Rhinolophus ferrumequinum: one gene and its partners. The protein of the gene in region 3 interacts with the protein of the main gene of each other region in a biochemical or structural test. Links are inferred from orthologs where the notes say so. Each region holds a gene or a part of one and is shown on either strand. Other genes may lie near its edges.

What was found.
Region 1: of the proteins of CCND1 (region 3) and CRYAB, one has a biochemical effect on the other in vitro, tested with the Homo sapiens proteins (2 studies listed by BioGRID, with this or other methods). The link is inferred for Rhinolophus ferrumequinum from reciprocal best matches to the Homo sapiens genes CCND1 and CRYAB.
Region 2: the proteins of CCND1 (region 3) and CDK6 form a complex in vitro, tested with the Homo sapiens proteins (3 studies listed by BioGRID and IntAct, with this or other methods). The link is inferred for Rhinolophus ferrumequinum from reciprocal best matches to the Homo sapiens genes CCND1 and CDK6.

Annotation. Positions count from the first base shown.
Region 1 is NC_046294.1:80,288,647-80,296,643, forward strand, and holds the start of CRYAB (alpha-crystallin B chain), read right to left. Parts: upstream 3,071-7,997; 5' UTR 2,863-3,070; coding exon 2,662-2,862; intron 1,811-2,661; exon of another isoform or gene 1,607-1,810; coding exon of another isoform or gene 1,604-1,606; intron 1,529-1,603; coding exon 1,406-1,528; intron 128-1,405; coding exon 1-127. Other genes in the region: HSPB2 (heat shock protein beta-2), read left to right, coding at 3,916-4,009, 4,493-4,947. UniProt on the Homo sapiens protein: May contribute to the transparency and refractive index of the lens. Has chaperone-like activity, preventing aggregation of various proteins under a wide range of stress conditions.
Region 2 is NC_046303.1:33,410,736-33,418,093, reverse strand, and holds the start of CDK6 (cyclin-dependent kinase 6), read right to left. Parts: upstream 3,089-7,358; 5' UTR 1,707-3,088; intron 1,160-1,706; exon of another isoform or gene 1,095-1,159; intron 1,026-1,094; exon of another isoform or gene 630-1,025; intron 370-629; exon of another isoform or gene 220-369; intron 1-219. UniProt on the Homo sapiens protein: Serine/threonine-protein kinase involved in the control of the cell cycle and differentiation; promotes G1/S transition. Phosphorylates pRB/RB1 and NPM1.
Region 3 is NC_046294.1:3,500,971-3,508,077, forward strand, and holds the start of CCND1 (G1/S-specific cyclin-D1), read right to left. Parts: upstream 3,003-7,107; 5' UTR 2,788-3,002; coding exon 2,590-2,787; intron 1,069-2,589; coding exon 853-1,068; intron 354-852; coding exon 194-353; intron 1-193. UniProt on the Homo sapiens protein: Regulatory component of the cyclin D1-CDK4 (DC) complex that phosphorylates and inhibits members of the retinoblastoma (RB) protein family including RB1 and regulates the cell-cycle during G(1)/S transition.

The DNA of each region.
Region 1 (7,997 bases), about 77 Mb from region 3:
GTTTCCTTGGTCCATTCACGGTGAGGACCCCATCAGATGACAGGGACGAAGTAATGGCTAGAGGGTCCACATCCGCTGGAATCCGGTATTTCCTGTGGAACTCCCGGGAGATGAAACCATGTTCATCCTAATCCAAGAGAACAAGGAAAGAGGCAGAGAGATAAGAACAGGAAAATAGCACCACTTGCTTAGAACTCAAACATCCTCCTTCCCCTTAGGAATGACCAATACTGTGGCAACATGAAAAAAAGCTGTCCTTTTTGGGACGAAGAAGAAGCTGCCTAGGTGGTCACTCCTACCAATGAGAATCTGAGAAGTCTGAAACAGGCAAAACTTCATAACCCGGAGGCATGGATATGTTTAGATGTATTTCCCAGAGGATTAGATCTATGTTTGTTGGGCCTACAGGATTTGGAATATCATCCGGCATTGAAGATCTGAATCCCTAAGGAAGCTTAGAAATTGTCTTGACTCTTCAGGGAAGGTCCCAGAATGTTCCAGGCCAATAGGACTGCTACCATTAGGGGAAAAAAAAAAAAAAAAAAAAAAGACTCCATCCAGGGAGACTCTGACCCAAACTAAAATCATACACACAAAACAGAAACAGGCGGAGGGACTAAAACTGTACTGTTTGATGAATAAGGTTCTCAGTTATCACCAATTGGTAAGAAGCAAACCCATCAAAAAACCCTCCCAGAAAGTGATGAGAAGTTATTCCATCCTTGAGTATTCTGCTAAAGAGCAGTGGACCCTAACCCTTATATCTGCTGAATCTCAAGCATTTATCCAGACAGGCTCTTAATTAACTGATTTCTACATGGGCTCTACAGTATTAGGAGCTGAGTACAGCTCTGAAACTTAGGCAGACCGTGTAGTTCAGGACTAAGAAGGGCTAAACAGAAAAGGATTCCTGAACATCTAAAAGAAAAGTCCCAAACTCAAGAGCCTTCGGGGTACATGCAGTTAATGTAATTATGAAAAGCAACCAGGTGTCGGACAAGCACTATGCCTAAGTCAGCGGTCTTCATCCTTGACTGTACATTAGAATTACCTAGGGAGCTTTATAAAAATGTTGATGCCTAGGTTCCATCCCTAAAAATTCTGATTTAATTGGTCTGAGATAAACCAGAGCACTGGAATTTTTTACAATTCCCTTTGTGATTCTAACGTGGCTAAGGTTTCGGACCACTGGCTTAAATGGGAAGCCCATTTGTCCTATCTAAGGCAATCAAATCAAAACAAACAACGGATCATGTCTCTGGCCAAAACAACAACAACAACGCCAGGTCTATCCCTGTTCCAGACCCTAATGGTTTAGGACTGAAATGTTGCCAGCCTCAAAGGCTGATGGTATGTATATAGTATGCCCTGAATGAATGAACAGTAGAGAAAACAAGCTGCATACCTGGCGCTCTTCATGTTTGCCGTGCACCTCAATCACATCTCCCAGCACCTTGACCTTGAGTTCCTCTGGGGAGAAGTGCTTCACATCCAGGTTGACAGAGAATCTGTCCTTCTCCAGACGCATCTAGAAATAGTAAGGTGGAGAGGAGGGGGTAGGAGAAAAATATGGTAGGAATGTGGATAAGTAGTGCAGTCTTACCATTCTGCTGACTTGCTTTCTAGGCAGGTAATTTAGTCTCCTCTTTTTGGCAAAAAAATTCCTTTTTAAATAAACATGATTCTCTGGTTTAGGGGAGCCACCACAGTGGTACCCAAGGCACAGCACTTGGTCATCAGGATCAAACTTTATTTACAGGGACAGGGAAGACAACAGGCCACCCAGGGGGAATAATCACAAGGATGGGTCTGGGCCTGGCTTCTACTGCCTCTCTGACCCCAATGCCTGGCCTTGTCATTTGTCTGTTAGACAAAGGCCTCTTCTTCTTGCTCAGGTCTCTGCCAAGTTTCCCACCCACTCAATCTGGAATGTTGTGCTGGCCATGATTGTCTTTCCAAAGCCCTTGCCCACTCAGCTCCTATTTATTCACACTTGAATATTTTTAAACTAGAGTGTTATCTGTGACGGCTTCTGTCCACCTTGTATGTTCACTCCATTCTCTCGCCCTCTTAGGACAAGTGGGGGTCCTAAGACTGGACCTACATCTTTCCTCCTTAGGCTTAGACCCAGGCCAGTGCCCTGTCACAGCCCTGAGAAACTCAGAAAATCACAGAAGAGGGAGTAAGAAGGAAGAAAATAGCGGTTGCTGTCTCCAGCTCCATTCAGTGGGGATGACAAACTCACAATGAGGTAGGGCTGTCTCCTGGTCTGAAACTTAAGATGATAAAATTTGTCAGGAGTATGAGGTATTAGAAATGGTGAGCAAAGGAGTTTGAAGGCAGCTCTTTCCCTGTAGATACTTATGAACAAAACCAGAAAGGGGCATCCTTCTTAGAAGTTAGGGTATGGATGATCTTCCTAGCACATGGGAAAGATGTAGTAAGTAGGATATAGAGAAGCATCAAAGACAAACAGGTGACTGGGGGAGAGACAGAGGAACTAGTAACCTCATCTTTCTTCGCTGCAGGACACGCAATTGCGTAAGAGATTTAGGACACTTAGACATAGCCAGATTTAGACAGACAGGAGAAGTAGAGCAGACAGACATTTTTCCAGAAGGTTCAGGAAGAACTCTCCTGTCCTACAGAGGGGAGACTTACCTCTGAGAGCCCAGTGTCAACCCAGCTGGGTGCCCGCAGGAATGAGGGCAGCCGAAAGTAGAAAGGGCTCAGGGAAGTAGAAGGTGGGAAGAAATCAGACTCCAACAGGTGCTCTCCAAAGAACTGGTCAAAGAGGCGGCTGGGGGAGTGGAAAGGAAAGAAGGGGCGTCGGATCCAGGGGTGGTGAATGGCAATATCCATGGTGGCTTTTTGACTGCTGGGGGTCAGCTGGCTGGTCAGCTCCTTCAGCTGCAGCTACAACCAGCGCTTTATATATGCAGTCTTGTGAAGCTTCTGGAACGGTGATGTCAGGGGTTTTATTATCCTAGCTCACCACCCGTTCATAGAGACTTGTGATCGGAGATTTGGCAGTGTGACACATACCCAGTACTCACTGAGCTAAGAAAAGAGAAATACAAACACGTCTGAGCTGTCCAGTGACTTGCCCTGGACTTGTTTCACTAGCTTTCTGCCCACACCCTATCCCCCCCACCCCGTCCCTCCCGCCCCCCTTGACTGGGACAGAGTCAAGAATCCCAAGCAGGCAGGAGGTGTGCCCCTCCTCCTCTCCAGCCTAGGGAGCCAGGGGAATCCAGCCAGCAACTATCTTGGGCCTGGGCAGGAACTGGAATCTTCCTTGGCTGGGCCCCAGAGACATTAACTCTTTGTGGGTCCCTGGAGGAGAGCAGTGATCACCAACATGTCTGTGGCAGGCATCTGTGTGGTGCTCAAAGTTGATGTGGGTTCAGGTAAGGACCCTGACATTAATCTGGGCAGGAAGAGCCCTCACCCCACCCCAAAGAGAAGGAAGAAAAGTGTTCCTCTTTCACCTTATAAGGCTGGCAGAACATTAAATCCAGGAGAGCTTTATGAAGTGGGGTGCGACTGAGGAGGAGAAAAGGTGGCGTGGACAATGTGCAAACTGTGAGGGTCTCAGCGAGGCCTCTCTAGGGCCTCTAATGCTAGCCACCGCTCCCCAGCTCGCTCCCCAGCCAGGACCCCCAGCTGTCCTCTGGAGTCCCCTGCGACAGCTGAAGGGTGTGCAGGGGAGGGGGCGGGGGTCCAGGCAGCGCTGGTCACACACTCTTGGCTGGCGCTCAGGGCCCCGCTGCCCGCCCCTCCCCGAGGCTCGAGGCTCGACACTATTTTGGGTGGTGTAGACCCCGCCCCCACCTCGGACCGAGCCCTGGCTCTCCAGGCAGCTGGTGGGGTCTCGGTGCACCTCGGACCGGGGCCTCTGACACGTCTGCAACCATGTCGGGCCGCTCGGTGCCACATGCCCACCCAGCCACCGCCGAGTACGAGTTTGCCAACCCGAGCCGCCTGGGTGAGCAGCGCTTCGGAGAAGGTATGGCACAGCCGCCACTTCCTTGCCTCCCACCCCCACCGCCTGAAATTCTGGGCTGACCTCCCAACGGTGCTGGCCTCCACCCCACTCCGGGCTTAACTGAACTCCTGGGGCGAGCCATCTCCCACCCCAGCTCCCCCCTCACTCCCTCCAAGCAGGGCTCTTTTCCCTTTCTACTGACCTCAGAGTAGAGGTGGTAAGAGCAGTGCTCTGACACCTGCCCCCTGCCCCCCTAAGGATGCCTCTTGTTCCCCTTCTGTTTACCCAGTTCTGCTTTGGTTTGCCCTCCTCTGCCCCCATCTCATTTCCTTTCTCAATCCCTTCTCCCCGTTGCCTCCTTCTAGTCGCTGTGTCCCCCACCCTCTCCCCTTACCTACTTCTGACTCCCCTCCTGCTCTCCCCAGTCCTCATCTCTCATTTCACCCCGTTCCTACCTCATGCTCCCTCATCCTGCCTCTTGCCTTCTCTTTCTCTGCCCCTCAGGCCTCCTACCAGAAGAGATCCTGACCCCCACCCTCTACCATGGCTACTATGTCCGGCCCCGGGCCACCAGAGCTGGGGAGGGCAGCAGGGCAGGGGCCTCCGAGCTCAGGCTCAGTGAGGGCAAGTTCCAGGCATTTCTGGACGTGAGCCACTTTACCCCAGATGAGGTGACCGTGAGGACTGTGGACAACTTGCTGGAGGTGTCTGCCCGGCACCCCCAGCGCCTGGACCGCCACGGCTTCGTGTCCCGAGAGTTCTGCCGCACCTATGTCCTGCCTGCTGATGTTGACCCCTGGCGGGTCCGTGCTGCTCTCTCGCATGATGGCATCCTTAACCTGGAGGCGCCTCGGGGTGGCCGACATTTGGACACTGAGGTCAATGAGGTCTATATCTCCTTGCTCCCTGCACCTCCTGATCCGGAGGAAGAGGAGGAGGCAGCCAGAGTTGAGCCCTGAGTGCCACAGACCCAGCACCCAGCACTTTCTCCCTCGTGCAATGATATGAGCAGCTGCCACCACCGGAGAGGCAGCAGCATCCTTGGGGGAATGGAAAAGTGCATGGGCCACAATGTATGGTTTGGTCCCTTGGGACATGTCCTAGTCTTTGGTTTAGTTCTGGGTGGAGCTGAATAAACCCAAATCTCAGGGCCTTGTTTGTGCCGCTCCCTATTCTGTGGCCTGGAGGAGGGGGTGGGCAGGGAGGGAAGAGGTCTCATAGCCATCTAGAGAAAATGCTCCTCAGTTAGGTGTACCCAGCACTACAGAACCCTGAGCTCGCACTTGGATGCTGAGGTCACACCCAGAAGCTAACACTGGCTCCAGATTAAATTCCTAGCCATAATTTTCTCACAATGCAACAAAAGAGAGAGTGATCCTGGGAGGGAAAAGGGATATGCCATCCAAACAGCCCAGAGGGCACTGTCTGAGCTGGTGATTAGAAACACAAAAACAAGGGTCTCCAGACTGTCTGGCTTATTTGGGGTAGGGGTTGGGAAAGCAGGTTTTGGCTGGAGAGGATTGCCTACAGCCCTGTTTTCCCATCCTGAGGTCTGTCCACTGAAAATGGTCTCTGATTCTGAAGGACCAAGTATGTATACACAAGGGTACAGACGCAGAAATCTCTGCCATTATCACCAAACCACTATCCTCCGCACAGGGGAGGCCCATGACAGAAATTTGCCTCCTATCTTGGAACATACCAAGAGAGGAACCACTGCATCACTACCCCACACATGGTCATTCCAGGCTAAATGCAAGGGAAACAAGGGCTGTTGGTGATGGCCAGGGCAGCATCCTTTGGAAGTGGAGTCTTATCACGAAAGGTATGATGTGTGCAAGAGACCCTGGGTATCTGACCCCTCAATTACTCTCTGTGATCAAGAGAGCAGGCATGTGTATGATTTGGAGAGGACCCGGACCTCCCTGCCCCAAAATATATATTTTATGAGGCTGTGGTGGACATCTGAAATTCTTCCATTAAAGTGGTGGATTCTTAGCTTTGTTGGGTTATAGACCCATTTGAAAATCTGACAAAAGCGATAGATCCTCTTACCAGAAAAATACATATGCTCCCAAATTTGGCACACAATTTGAATAGGTTCATACAGCTCTTAAGATCCATTCATATACCCCTCTTAGGGATCTGTGGACCCCCCAGGGTAAGAACCCTCACTTGATTAAAGGATTTCCGTCAATTTAAAATGAGAGCATGCTTCAGAGAAATAACTGTTGATATATCCATTTGTTCGCTCAACAAATATTTGTTAAACCCAAGTAATATACACTATAGGGGATACACATTGTAAGTATAAACTATAAAAACTATGGTCTTTTATTGTTTTCTCTCGGGAATATTAGTACCTAGCTGAGAAGAAAAAAAGTAATAAAAGGATCCTATTCAGACTTCAATCAGAACAGTTTCACATTGATCTGTTTTGTAACTGGGATTTTTACATAAGCTTTACTTAAAAGAAAGGGTTCCTTAGCTAGAAAAAAAATTGAGACCTTTGATTTAGTTCAAATCCCCACCCTGTTCAAATTGTTTCAAGATTATTAGTGAACTTCTGGGACATTTTGAGTGACATAGAACTAAAAACTTCATAAAGTAGCCTACTTCATTTTCCTTTTAGTCAAATCTGTTATAAATTCTTCCTTCTATTAAACCAAAATCTGCATTTCAGTAACATCTGCCCATTGGTTTTGGTTATGTCCAGAAAATAAATGCAATTCTTCTTTCACTTGAGGTTCTTCATCTGAAGGACTTAAAGATAACCATCCTATCCTCCTAAGGCTTCCCTTCCCCAACTAAACATACCTAATTCTTTTACCCATATTTTACAGGACATTCCATAACAATTATTACCCAGACAACTCTCTCTTGAACACACTGCCTTTTGACAACACAATCTGAAATCCAACATGTAGACCTAAAATTATTATTCCACGACTGACTGGTACAGCCTTTGGTGAAGTAATCAATACCCTTGTTTATCACTCTAGACTTCTATTAGTGCTGTTTTAAGTGTATCACATTTTCTGGAACCAACCGCTACACACTGTTGGTTCTTTTGGAGTTTCTGGCCATATAAAATCTCTTAGGTGTTTTCCTTTACATTTCTCCTTTAAATTAGAGAAATTGTCTGGAAAGGGACCAGATGCGGAGGGCTTTGAGTGCCAGGCTAAGAAGCTCAGGTAATAGGATGAAAAGGATACAGTTAATAGTAGAGTACAGAATGGATTGCCGGGCAGAAGCATGACTACAAAATAAGGCTGGTGCAATGACCTAGCACAAGATACTAAAGCAAGATGCTTTACCATCTGACAATTTGCTGAGAATAAGAAGTAATAATAATAACAATAGCTAGGGCTTACTGAGAGCTCCCCATGTGTCAGACCCTGGACTGGCACATTATCTCATATAATCTTCACCACAATTCTGTATGGCTGTCACTCCTACTGTCCCCATTTTTCATAAGGAAAGAAGATGGAGAGGAGTGAAGAGTCCAGGGCATTCTCTGTGGAGTGCAGGGCTGAGTGGTGGGTCTTGAATACCCATAAAGAGCACACAAATAACTGGGCATTGGAGCAAGACACTAAAGATGGGGGTGGGAGGATAGGAGACAAGAATTACGGGTTTTACAAATTCTTCTAGAGCCCATTATTTTCTACAGAGGAATTTGCTTGACTGCATCCTAGTTGCTGGTAAACGTGGAATGAGTGTAAGTTCGGGTCATTGGAAGGAGAAGCTGAGTTGAGGTTTAAATGGAGATTCTGTAATTCTGTACTGAAAATGGGGAAGTGAGTGGTTAAGAAGTACTGAGGCCATTCCAATCATAGAGTCCTATGATTTTTGACCAGAAAGGGGATTAGGTAATAGGTTCAGCACTCCATTTCACAGTCCTAGAAAAAAGGGATTTGCCCAAGTTAATTCCAAAAGCAAGGGAGAAAGAATATAAAAGGAATACATTTCCCTAAATTTAAGTTTCCAAGAGACTCCGGTATTCAAA
Region 2 (7,358 bases), on a different chromosome or scaffold from region 3:
CGGCTTAAGGCCTGGTGCCGTCTGCAGCCAGTCGCTCCTCACCCCCACCCCCTCCAGCCCACAGCACAACAAACTGCGGGGTTGGGGGTCACCTTCCCTCCCCATTCATTTGCAATCTAGGACCCAGGAATCCGCCAACCCACGGCCGCCCCGCGGCCTCGGCGGGACGTTAGCCACGCCGGCCGCGTGTCCGGAATTCCCGGGGCACTTCGGAATTACCTGCCCCATAACCGCTGGCCCGCTCGCCTTCTTCCAGGAATTAAAGAAACAAATGGCGCGACCCTCACGGTGTGAGGGCGGAAGGGACCACAGCGAGGACAGACACCCTCACACTCAATCCATTCAAAACTCTCCTTAAAAGGTGAAGGTGAATCCAGGCGGGGGCCGAAGAACGAGCCCCCAGAGCCTGCCCGGGGGGTCTGAGCCAGGCCGAGGGCCACACAGGTAGCGGAGGAGCCACCGCCAGTAGCGCAGCCCCGTCGGCGTACCCGCGCCCCTCCTCCCCTCCAGCCCCAGGCTCTGCAGCGAAGGAAACGTCGCCGACGTCCCACCCCCGCAGGGAACTGCGCCCGCTGCCCCCGCCCGGCCCCGCACAGCCCGCCCAGGCTCTCCCCCCTCGCTCCCGCGACCTTCGGCTCCGGCGGAGAGAAACGGGAGCAGCAGTGCCTTCCCCCCACCCTTCACTTTTTTTTGTTGTTGTTGTTGTTGCTTTCCCACGCTGGCTGAATGTGACTTGACCCCATTTCAAAAAAGTTTGACATAGTGCTTCAACATTTCCGCATTCCTCTGCGACTACAAAGACTACAGCCGCCTCCTTCTGCTTTCTGTCTCTGCTCTCTGTCTTCACACTCAATGAAATGCTTCATGTGCCTCTCCCGAAGCCTGCCAAGCACCGCAAGGGTCGCCACCAGCGCAGCGACAAGAGGCCGCACCGGCGACCAGGGCTCCCGCGTGTGCGCACACGCAGATGCGCCCACGTGCACACTGGCCGGCGCGCTGTGGGGCGGGAGCTGCTCACTGCGGGGTGTGTTTTAACTCCGATATTTTAAATTATAAAAGTAAACTGGGAAACTAAAGCAAACGTGAGTCCTTACCGGGCTCCAAACCTGGGCACTGGCAGCCTGCGTGCACTCTTCTAAGTGTGCATAACATGCCCGCAGGGGTTGCCAGCAAGGAGCCTGCGTTAACACTTATCTCGTATCTCGTGGTGGGAAGGTGGAGCCCACACCCACACCCACATCTCAGCGAGCTGGAGAGGGAGCTCTCGTGGGGAAATCAAGATGGGGCACGGAAACACGATCTCCCGCACTAAGTCCCCCCATTTTCAACCCTAAATGTGGATCACTGTGTGAGTGTCCGAGTGGAGTTTAAATTCTGTTTGAAGAAACTGGATAAGGAGTGCTTGCTTAAGTAGGTGGTTGTGCGCAGGTTGTGAGGGAGCAGGCTCAGGATCTCTGTGTTGGGGGTGTCCCTAGTGTGGTATGTCCTCTTGCCAGATTAGGAAAAACTCCTTTAGCTCCCCCACACTGGCCCCCGTAACTGCCCCGCCTCGGTTCGTAAGGGGTTAACCTACGCGGATTCCGAGGACATACCCCACAATAGTCTACCCACACCTACACCCTCGCTTCCGACCCTAGCCAAGCCCCCCAATCTCCCCGGGGACCCCCCACCCCGCAGCCCACCCACCCGAGTGCACAGCTCCTCACCTGAGGGGCCTGGCCTCGTCCAGCCTCCGGAGGGGGCTGCAAGTGTCAGTCTGATGTCCGCACGTGTCCAGCGCGGCGCGGAGAAGGTAACCCGGTTGGAGGAAGGAGTCACCAGCTCTCTCTCCCGCAAGGGGGTGGGCACAGCGGCGGAGGGCGGAGGGACCGCGGAGGGCGCCGCCCGCACGGTTCGCTGGGAGACAGTACGGCCGCGGGGCTCTGGCCGAGGCTCGGGGCAGAGCCGGGGAGGCAGCAAGGGGCGGGGGCGGAGGCCCGGGAGACCTACTCTGCTCGAGACCCACCCTGCGGCGGGGTTGGGGACTCGCGGTGCAGTAGCAAGCAAGTGTGCAAATTAAAGCCTTCCGGAGACAGGGGAGGCGGCCGAGACCCGGCTGTGCTCTGAGCCTCCCAGCTCCCCAGCTCTCGGCTCCAACTGGGGGGCGAGTCGGAGGTGGGGGAGTTAAATGAAAATTTCCGGCTTTCACTGCGATTGGAGTGGGGGTTCTTGCGACTAAAACAAGAGGCGTGAGAGGGAGAGTGGGATGAGACGTCGGGAGTCGGCAGAGTTTCCAAACCCAGGGTCGCCCACAGTTGGGGTTTTGACAGAGTGAGGCGGGGGTATCAGCAGTCTGTGATGTGGACGGATGGGAAAAACACAAAACAACCAACAATAATTATGAGAGGCCGGTGGGGATGGTAAATACCCACACTTTCCAAGAAACTGAGAAATCAGACCGAAAAATAACTTTTCTCTATTAAAAAAAAAAAGTTTGGCAGGACGCCTTGCAGAAAATACTAATCTGTCCAAGCACTTTTCACTTTCTACATGAGCTACATTTGTTTTGTTTTCCTTCGCTTCCTTTCGGCCTCACAAAGCCCTATCTTTTCCTTTTGGACAGAGGATATGATTTGGAAATTGTCAGGCACTCTTGTGGTTAACGATCTACTTGAAGGGGCTGGCGGGTTCACAATTATTAAGTGGTTAGCAACTGCTGAGGGTTTGGGGAGCTAAAAAGACTAAAATTCAGTGTAAATAACAGAACAGCAAGATAATAGACACACACAAAGAGAAGAGAAAGTGATTCGGTGGGTGCTCAGTTTAAATGCATTATTGGAATTCTGAAATTTGAAACCTTGTAAGAATTTATACTTTACCTGCTGAGAAAACCTGAATACAATTATTTCAGGTGAAAATGAGATTTTGGAAGGAAAAAAAAGTTTCCAAGAGTTTTTACCATAGGGTAAAACAAAACTTAAAATTAACTGTTTTTTGGAAAGAATTCAGTTTTGTCCAAAAATCTGTATCTGTAGAATACTTGAAACCATTTTAACATCTTAAACCCAAGCTAAAAAAAATTATTTCAGTGCTCTGTGGAAAAATTAAAACCCAGCAAAATTCTGTTTAAATTGGAAATATTACCTCTATAAATCTTTTGACTTTTTGAACTAAACCATGTTGCTAATTTCACACTAGATCAAAATTTTGCCTTTATAAAATTGATTTCTATACTACAGTGTGAAGTGGCAGGTTAAGTAACTAAAAATTGTTGCATTTCCATTAGCAAATATTTTGCAATGTATTCTAATAATTTTTTCTTAAATAATGAAAGTGAAGAATTGTGTTTCTGTGTGCTTAATATAATTCATAAAATACATTTTGTGTTTAGGGGCATGTCTTCTAAAATAAAATCCAATTTCAGAACAAAATTTGTACTTGTAAAGATATCTATGATCTCATATATCTTCTAGACTTAAGAAAGCAAATTGTTGGATTTTGTATTTATATAAAATATTGGATCACTACAAATCATGAATTAGACTTTAAACCCAAGACACAAATGACAATCCTCCATTTTAATAATTACACTTATCAATGCTTTTAAAATCTTAAAACAAGATTTATTTGCTGGTAATCAACACATTTATGTAATTCAGAAATAATTGTCAATCAATAGTCAGAGGACCCAGTAAATGATTGTAAAAATTTATTTGAGTACATAATTTGTTTAAAAAATATTAAGCTGTAAATATCTTTAAAATTAACAGAAAAATGTCTTTTCTATACTGCATTGCATTTTTAATTACTTAATTTGACAACAACCATAGGTGAATTAGAAATTCCATAATTTAGGTTACTAGATCACTTAGGCAATGTAAAAAACAATGAAACTTTCATTACATATGTTAATACTGAGTGTTAACTCTCTTTATATCATCTGCTTTCTTTGATATTGTTAATTTATCATTGTTCACTCTCCCTGGTTATGGTTCACATTGATACCTGGTTGCTTAAATCTTCAGACCAGGAAGTTTTACAATGGATTTTATAAAATTAGCAAATACCAGATTGTTTTTGTTTATGGACAACTTCCTCTGTGGATAACAGGTTATCATAACAAAATCTGTGCAAAGTTTATAAACTGTGAACCAAATTCCGACTCTTTTGTTTAGGAATCTTCGATGAATGAAAACATAGCATTTAAGAATAAATAATGATTTGCACCAGTATTTTCACACCACACATCAGATATTCTAAAGTTGCAAATCATCTTACAGGTTTTTAAAAATTAGAACTCATGGATTTATCTCCAAATATGATGTTGTAGCTTACACTGAAAGTTTTCTTAAGTGTCACAGAAAAGATATATTCCATGTGTGAATATTTTATATCATATATCTGTAAATTTTTGTTTTCACTAAAATAAAAAAATCTCTTTAATTATGGTCTATAATTTATAACCTCATTTAAGAAATGAGTAATTTATTTAAAATTAGTAATTATATAATTAATGTACATCTAATTCTAAGTGATCTCTGACTTATATTAGCTATTTGAATTTATAAAATACATTTCCCAGAAATTCAGAAGTGAGATTTTGCTTAATCTACTACATAATAGTTTTAATTGGAGGTCCATGTAAATGTATACTTTTTGTCTATAAATCTCTCCTGTTTGTTGTTTTGATAAAAAACCTTTTCTGGTTTAATAACTGTGAAATCAGTTACCCTTGTTTTAAACTTGATTTTTATGTCTATGTAAATATACTTTGTTAAGTAATTACCACGAAAAACTATAATTTTAACAGAAATAGCAATTTATAATTCAGTGCATTTTAATGCATTCTTTTTTTTCCCCAGGCATTTCCAAGGTGTTTTCTTGGGTTTTCCCTTAAAATGTAACATTGAAAATTTGCTAATATTCTAGGAAAAATCAATTGTATTACCAACTTTTGCAACTGTAAAATTATGAACTTGAAATGACTTTTTAAGTTCAATCTTCTAAATAAATTACTTGGCATCAATTTGGAAATGACCTGGGCTTTTTTGGTTTTGTTTTTGCATGTGATCTAGTGCATTGCATTTGAGCAGTGAAACTTGAAAAGATTTTGATTCTTGCTGTGAGGGAAAAAAATATATGGGGTAGTAGCTTATAAAATTTAAGGGAAAAAAAACAGACATTATTATCTTTTGGAACATTCCGTTTTTATGGATTCTACAGCTCTATAATTATCCCTGGGCTACATGTCAGTACTATGTTCATATTTGTATAATTGTCATCATCTTTCCTATTTTTTTGCCTTTTGACAGACACTTACATCTTCTTTTTTCCTTTGTGTGTGTGTACATGTGTGTGAATATGTTCTTGGCTATTGTGACATGTTTGAAATGTGTTCTTAAGATCCTTTCATTATCTATATTAGAATTCTGAGTAATCAGAAGAATAACTATGGAAATACACTTATAAAAGTTAGTGATAATCACATGGAAATATCTACATTTCCTCTACATTTAGAATGTCCTGTAATTTTTTTTACTGACTTCTAACATTTCTTTTCTAAGATAATAAATACTTGCATCTCAGCTGCACACATGGCCTAACAATTGTGTTGCCATAGTTGCCTTTGGTTGACCTTAAAACATATGTACATGTTTTAGATAGATCATTCAGATGAAGTAGTAGAGGTACAACACAGTGGGCATGAATGATGATAAAGTGGGATCTGGGAGGGTGGGAGGAAGTACAAAGAAAGGCACCTGGGACAAACTTCTATTAATGGCCTGGCAGCAGGTAAAAGTGAAGAAAGCACATGTTAATGTCTCGGGCCAAGAGATGTTCCCCAGTGCTCTACGTATGGCGTATCTAGGCAACTTGAATCTTTCAGAATGAACAGCATTCTATGTCTATCCTATTATGAAATGAAATCTATCTTACTGAATGCGATTGTATAATGTATGCATCCATATACATGTAACTATTTTATGTTGTCTCATAATGGATTTTCCCTGAAAATACACATAATGGAATTCTTTGCAGAATTCTTTTTTTTAAATTAAATTTTATTGGGGTGACAATTGTTAGTAAAGTTACATAGATATCAGGTGTACAACTCTGTAATACATCATCTACTGTGTTTCCCCGAAAATAAGTCCTAGCCGGACCATCAGCTGTAATGCTCTCTTTTGGAGCGAAAATTAATATAAGACCCGGTATTATGTTATGTTATGTATGTTATGTTATGTTATGTTATGTTATGTTATGTTATGTTGTCATACAAGACCTGGTCTTATATAATAGTAAAATAAGACCGGGTCTTATATTAATTTTTGCTCCAAAAGATGCATTAGAGCTGATGGTTCGTCTAAGCCTTATTTTCGGGGAAATATGGTATATATTGCAGAATTCTTTAAATGCCTAGAAGAAAGTAGATAATAGAATAGCTCCGTGGATCAAACATTTTACCATAAATTGAAGAGAGGGTCCAATTTTTAAACCCTACTATAAACTTGTTCCAAGTTACTCATAACTTCTTATATCCAGTATCTAGCACAGCAGCTGTCAAGTATTTTATGTCCAATAACTGTTTGTCAATGGGAAAATTGGCTTTGTACCTTATTGTCCGTCTTCTTTGGGACTACTTCTTTCAATTTCCTTGAAGGGGTCATGTTAAAGTAATGTTTAATATAATCCCAGCAAAGGTTTAGGATCAGTGTGCTGATTTCAGTACCGCAGAAACGTGTCTTCTCTACCTGCAGTTCCCTTTCCCTTCAGCCTTCTAAATCCTATCATTTCAAGGCCGAGCTCCTCCTAAAACCTCGATTCCCTCAGCAGAAAGGCATTCCTCTTTGCTCTAACTCCTTGAAGTCATCTGCTCTCTTTAGCCTTCCTAAAAGCTTGATGCTCTGCTACCCACCACCCTGAGCTCCCCCAAGGGCGTCCACAGTGCCTTGCTCCCTGTGACAATGCTATGTATGCCATGTGGCCATAGTAGGTGGTCAGTAAAGGCAGCAGAGGGTCCTGTTTCTCTCCATGAGTGTTACTGAGTCAAGCAGACACAGAACAGAATAATGTGACATCACTAGAATAACATCTGAAAAGTTGAGAACGGTGTTCCAATTTGCTTACATGGGAAAAAAACAAACAAAAAAAACAACAAATAGGTCATCCTGCTACTTTGTGTGGATTTGTTATATTTTCTCTTGTGTTGCAGGTATTAGTTATTGAAAAAATTTTTGTCTAAAAGAAAATATGTTTGGATGAATTTCTAAATTTGCCGGAAAGACAAATTCTCAAATCTCATCTGAAAAAAAACGTGTTTAGATAATTTTCTCCACTTCCTATCCCCGAAAATTTCAACTAAATGATTTTTCTTTAAA
Region 3 (7,107 bases):
GATCCTGGGAAGACAACACCAACCTCCATTAGCCCAACCAACAACCTGAGACTTCTGTTCAAGAGAACCAGGAAAGGGGAGAGCTTCGGAGAGCAGGAGGAGTCTGCGGACCATCTGCTCAGATGGGGAAACTGAGGTAGAGGGCAAGAAGCTCTGCCAGGGAGGCCAGGCCAGCAGGGCCCAGTCACCCTACCTGTGGCACAGAGGGCAACGAAGGTCTGAGCATGTTTGCGGATGATCTGTTTGTTCTCCTCTGCCACCGGCATTTTGGAGAGGAAGTGTTCAATGAAATCGTGCGGGGTCATGGCGGCCAAGTTCCACTTGAGTTTGTTCACCAGCAGCAGCTCCATTTGCTGTGGAAATGGGGCGAACAAACATAAAGAGAGGTGCAGGGGCAGCTGCTGGAGGGGCTCGAGTGGGAGAGGGGCCTGGAGAGAAAGGATGGGGGTGTTGGGGGTCCAGCAAGTTGGGGAAAACATGCTATCCCAGATCAAAAAATTGAAGGAGCCACTTGTAAAGGTTCCTGCTTGTTATTAAACACTTCACAAGCGGAGACAAAAAAAGACCTCCAGCACATGGAACGCACGCAAAGCCTTGTCCGCGCCGCCGCCGCTAGAGGGCGCGCGCCGCCCACTTTTCGGAGGTACTAGGGACCGAGCCACAGTGGGAATCCCAGCGAAAGTGGGGCGGGGGTCCCGCCAGGTCCTCGGGAGGGGCCCGGGCAGTTTGGCCTCCCGCCCTCGGGGCACAAGGTCTGTGGGAGGCCGGCCGGGTACCCCCTGCCCTCTGCACTTTCCCCACCCGCACTCCGGGGTCCTTTGGCTAAGAGGGCTGCGGCGGGCAGCGGGTTACCAGCAGCTCGTCGGGCCGGATGGAGTTGTCAGTGTAGATGCACAACTTCTCGGCCGTCAGGGGGATGGTCTCTTTCATCTTCGAGGCTACGAACATGCAGGTGGCCCCCAGCAGCTGCAGGCGGCTCTTTTTCACCGGCTCCAGTGAGAGGAAGCGGTCCAGGTAGTTCATGGCCAACGGGAAGACCTCCTCCTCGCACTTCTGCTCCTCGCAGACCTGCCGGGACACCCGGGTCGTGACCGCCGCCGCCGGGCCCCTCCGCGGGACCCCGCGCCCCCCATCCCGCTCGCGCTCGCGCCACGGGTCTCAGAACACGGAGGGTCGGGCAGGGGGTGGCAGACGCTTGCAGTGATGCATCCCCTCCCTTAAGTATCCCTAGTACCCACCCATCCCGAAACTGAAAGGGAAAGTCCCCGCGCGGCTGGCACGGTGGGGGCGGCAGCGGGCATGGCTGGCCGGCATGCGCCGCGCGCGGGCTGCCGGCCCTGGGGACCCCGGCCCCAGTGGGTGCTCTGGGGCCCGCCTGGCCCATGGTCGCACCAAATGGGGTGCGGGGACGCGGGGCTGGGCGCCGCGCTCGCGGCGCCTGCGAGACACAAAGGTGGCGTCCCAGGCCGCCGCGCCGCATTTCCCCAGACGTCATCTTTTCAAAAAATATTTAAAAATATAAAAAAAATAACTGGGTACATAAAAAAAACCTGAAAATGACCCTCGAGCGGCCCTTTACCCAGGCCGGGGGTCGGGAGCTCGTTGCAGGCTCGGTGGAGAGCCCCAGGAATTCAAACTCAGGGGCCCCCCTTCCCCTTGGGCGCGGGCGCCGTTTCACTCTCGCAAGGGCACCACGCCGCACTTCAAAAAAATTATTTAAAAATACTTGCGGGCCCCCCAGGCGCCCACTGAAAGCCCGAAAATGTAACTCTAGCCCCCGGCTCGATATAGACAGGTCCTCCAAACCGAGACCCCTGCAGACGAGGGTCAATACCAGCGTGTTGGGGGCCACGCGACCTTGCAGCCCGGCGTGCTCTCCGGCCAAGGCTGGCGGTGCAGGGAGCCCCGGGACTCGCTGTTTGAACAAAGGGCCCCCACTTCCCGAGTGGGGTCCCCCCCAAACTGCCCGCGCTCGGTCCCCGCGCCCCTCCCGCCGGTTCCCGGCGACCGCGCGGCCCCTTGCCGCGGCCCCAGCGCCTCGCCTGGCGCTCCCCGCCCCCACCCTGCCCCCAATTATTAATAAACACTTTTGCTTTGCAATAAAAGAACAAAGATGGCGCATAATACTGGCACGAGCGGCCCTTGCATACGTGTCCATGGATATTCATTTAAAAATCAAATATATGCCCCCTCCCTCTGGAGCTGGCGGCTCCGCGGCTGGGAGAGGAGGCGCAGCGGACTCAGGCGCAGGCGGGGGCTGCGCGGTGGCGGCCCAGGCGGGGGCCCAAAAGGGCGCCCAGCCCGCCGGCCCGCACCCTCGAGCTAATTAGGGTGCGTCTGGTACTGCCTTTCCCCGCAGGGACCCCCTCCCCCCCGACCAGGAAAGGGAATTGCTAATGCCCCCAACTCTGTCCTTGTTCAAAAAACACCCACAGTATCTATATATTTTGAAAATACGATTCCTAGCTACACCCCCGGCAAACTTCAAAGTTAGGGTGGAAGAAAAGGGAGCAAGATGAGCCGCAAAGAAATGGGAGTGTGGGTAACAAGTTGCAGGCAAGTCTTAAGAGAGCCGCCCAAGCCCCGCACCTCTAGCATCCAGGTGGCCACAATCTTCCGCATGGACGGCAGGATCTCCTTCTGCACACACTTGAAGTACGACACGGAGGGCGCGCAGGTCTCCTCCGCCTTGAGCATGGCCCGCAGCACCCGGTCGTTAAGGAGGTTGGCATCGGGGTATGCCCGGCGGATGGTCTCCACCTCGCAGCACAGGAGCTGGTGTGCCATGGCTGTGGCTCTGCTAGGCGGCCTGGGGCTGGCGGTGGGTCGGGGGCTCGGTCCGCGCTCGGCTCTAGCTCTTGCGCTCCCTCGAGCTCTTCTGCTCCTCGCCCGAGCGCGCGGACGCTGCTGTTCGCTGCTACAGCGCCGACAGCCCTCTGGAGGCTCCAGGACTTTGCAACTTCCAACAAAACTCCCCTGTAGCCCGTGTGACGTTACTGTTGTTCAGCAGAGATCAAAGCCGGGCAGAGAATGGGAGGGGGGGGCGGGGGCGGGGGCGGGCTCAGTAGGAGGGGGCGCGGGCGCCGAGCGCCAGGGAGCTGCGAGGGCCCCGCCGCGGAGTTGCCCCCGAAGCCCAGTTTTCATAGAAATGCAAATCACCCCGAGGCAGCCTTTCTCCCCGCCGGAGAAGAGGGGTGCAGGGGGGCCTGTTTTCCCGGAGTGGGTCCCCCGGGATTTGGGGGGTGGGGTGGAGGTGGCTCTGCAGAGGGGGACAACTAGGAGGGCGGGCAGGCCACACGCAGCCGGGGGGAGACCGCATGGAGGGGGTACTGTGGGGCTTGGCGGCACCCTATATCGGAGCCGGGAGAATGGGCGCATTTCCGAGAACGCCACGAGGGCACCCACGGGCGGAGAGGCGGCCAAGGAATCTCAGCGTCTACATCTTCTTTCATTTTCATTAACACGTGTAAATTTCAGGAACCATTGAACACTCAGGGACGCCGGGCAGAGCCCAGAACCCTGCTGGAGGCTTCATGCCGGCGCACAGGGGGGTCGTTGTAAATGCCCAGGGGAGTAACCCTAAACGTTTAAGAGATTTCAGCCTAGCATGTTCTCGCTCAAAAAATAAAATAAAATAAATGCCCGAAAATTCCAGCAGCAGCCCAAGATGGTGGCCAGCATTTCCTTCATCCTGTCCTCCTCGCCTGGGGATCTGCAGGCTGTCTTCCTACCTTGGCCAGTCCATCCTTGTGGGGTCCCCAAATCCCAACCCACCCCTCCCGGTAATTTACTTACTAGAAAAACACCCTGAATGGAGGGCAGCAAGACAGTGGTCTCTGTCCTGTCTCATTTTAACATTAAAAAGTACATTAAATCGCTTAAAGTTATTAGTCGCCGCTCTGCCAGGGACAAGACCACCGGAAGCTTCCTAATTGGTTCTGTTGGAGGTGTGACATCTTTTCACCTTAAGAATCTGCCCTGGGGCTGCGTTCGTGAGCCTGATGGGGATGGCAGGGGTGACAAAAATTAGAACAATTGTTAAGTTAAAGAAATGGGTGTATTGATCTGATGATTTTAGCAAAACCTATATATGTTCGTGGTTATACGGCAGGGTCCCCAATATTATTGCAAAGTTAAGAGACATATAAAAGAACACATAAATTGTTTTATTAGATTGTCTTTCTGGTGCTTTTTTAAAAAACAAAAGGACATTTTTCCGCTACCGTAACATTTTTTTTACACTACCTTCCCTAAATTAAGAAATTTGTTCATATACTTCCCTCTGAATAGTTTACTGTCATCAAATCACCGTATCCCCTCACCATAAAGGCTCCAAGAAGACGGACAAAAAAGACCCCTCCCTTTCTCAAGGGCGCACGCACCAAGGCAAGACACCCCCTCTTTCAGGGCTGATTCTTCCCGTGCTCTATTCCCGGTTGGGAATTAGGATTTCTAATATTCCAGATCCAGGAGGGTAATTACCCTCGGTTTACGCCTCGGAAGCCGTGGGTGGCCCCAGTAGGGAGCACCCACCGCCGTGTCCCCCTCCCCGGGCAACTATGCTCACTTTGGCCCCGTGCACGCCGGAGCCTCGCAGCATCAGCCTGCGCACGAGGGCCGCCGGGTTGCTTTTTCATTCATAAAATCCCGACCCGGCGGCCGCCCCGATGATTTATGGGGCTTCGCGCTATCACCCGGCGGCTGATGTCCCGGGGGTCTACGGGGCCCGAGCCCCGCGTGCGCCCCTGCCGGGATGGGGCGGGTAGGCGACAGCGAGGGGCAGCGGGGCATAAAGAGGCTCGCCCACTCCGGCAAAACGGGCTCCCGGTCCTGGACGGAGCTTCCCCCCAACCCGGGAGAAAGGCAGAGGAAACTGGAATTAGCATGAGCCAATGGGGGCCCGGCGTTGTTACTAGGCGGACCGGGCAGATCTCAACGAGGAACTTCGATGACTTCCCCGCTCAGGGACGGGCGCAAAAGTGCAAGCCCGGCCAGTGAGCGTGAAGAGCCGTCCAGGAACCCGCGGGGGAGGCGCTGGAATTTGGGGCCCCGCGGGGAGCGCTGGCTGCCCAGCCCCCACCCAGGATCCCAGATCTGTGTTCCCCGGAGCCCGCGAGAGGGGCAACAGCCCCAGGTCCTTGAGGACTGCTGTTTCTTGGAGAACAGAGGATGCGTTTTGATATTAATTTTTTTCCAAAGAGAAAAGCAACTTTTGAAAACTTTTATGTTGCAGTTTTAATTTTGCACTGCTTTTTAAAAACCCACCACGAAGCAGGAACTCCGAATTCTGGGCTCATTTAAAGTGCTCTGAGCTTATTTCTTGGTGACCATTTAGAGACAAAGGGCCGGCAGATCAATCGGGAGGGAAACCACGTTGGTTGGAAAGGAAATCCAAAAGTAACTAAATCACCTTCTTGCTTTCCTGGGCCCCTGGCCCCCCACCGGGGTGACCCTGGCTGGGGAGATTCGTCGGCCCCGAGAGGGCAAATTCCGCAGCAGGCGCGTTTGCCACCGTCCCTGGCTGTGGGAACCTTCATTCAAGGCGGGGGAAGGGAGCGCGTTCATTCAGGAACCCGCGCGCCGCGGCGCGGATTCTGGGATGCACCGCGGCTGCGCGCCGCCCCGCGGGAGGAGGGGGGGCTCTGAGGAGGGGGTGCAGGGCTTAATGGGGCTCTTCCACGGGTGTCGACCTCCCGCCTTCCCCAGAGAGGACGGGGCTGGGGACGAGCGGACGCACCCAGGTGGGGTCACCTGCAGCCGCATACCTGCCGGTGACTTGAAAGGACTTGGCTCCAGCTTCGCGAGTTTTCCGCTGTTAAGCCCTTAAGTCGCCCTGGGAAACACTTCCGAATGAGGGCCACGGGGTTCCGGGGGCGCTTCGGGCTCCCCTTCCCCCACACTACACGCTTTGGGGGCGCGCATGGCGGCCCACGTGCTGCGGTAGCTCCGCCCTGGCTACGTGGTGCGGATCCCTGGCGCCCCAAAGCTGCGGCCTCTGGCCCTGGAGCCCACCCGGCACAGGCACAGCTGGGCGCAGAGGCAGCCGCACCATCCACCGCTCCAAGCTCATGGAGGTGCGTTTCTGCCTCTGATCAATTCATTTCAGCCACACACAGACTACCCGAGCCCCAGTAGTCGGTCCGGCAGTCTGCGGGGTCCGGACACCCCTCCCCCAGCTCTGAACTCGGACGAGGTGTGCGTGGGAGTTAAAAAGCAAACCCCAACAGGTGTGTGGGGGGCTGGCTCCTGCCTCTGGGATCCCGAGGGAAAACGTGCACTTTTGGGGGTGAAAGAATATTCTAACTCCTTGACCTCCGTCCCTCAAAACGCAGCGCTTGATGTCCTGGGTAACATGAAACCCCAAGTCCACTAGGAATTTCCTGGCCTCTTGGCTCAGGTCTCTGGGCGGTCGTTGCCCAAGTATCGCGGAGTGGGTGCCCAGATTGAGAAGATAACCACCTTCAACTAAGGCAGATCGGGCGGGAGATGGGGGTGGAGACCTAGGAGGCCATGTCCTTCCCGCGTCTTCCGTGCCCAAGCAGGGCCGCGGCTCACCCGAGGCTGAGCAGACCCCCGCCCCGAACGAGGGCGCAGGGCTCCGCTGTGGAGACTCGCGTGGCCTAGGAAACGTGTGGCTTGTGGGAGCGGGAACTTCCGGGAGAAGGACCAGCTCTAAGACCCTCGTCGTCTCCCGCGGCGCCCCCACCGCTCCCCACTCCCGGGAAGGACGTGAGGCCCCTTCCCTCGCCTCTAGGACTTGTCGCTCTGCCCCCATCCCCTCCCCTTTTCGGAGAATGTCTGCGGGGAGGACCCCGCATCCTCCTGTCTTTCAGTCAGTTTCGTTCTGCCCTTGAAACGCCCGAGTTCCTATCATTCGCCATAGCCCTGGTGGTGGATGGAAGGGCGGCTGCGGGGGGGGGGGTCTTGATTATGGGGATCCTCCCAATTTGGGGGCTGTGGACACTTGCCAGGAGGGACGGGGAAAGACATTTTTTTCAGGTGCGAGGCGAAGGTTTGCATACCTAACTCTGCACCCTTCCCCTGGGGTCCCGCGGTCTCAAGCCGTCGGGGCTGGTGGCGGGGCACGGGTTTGGACCCATTAGGGGG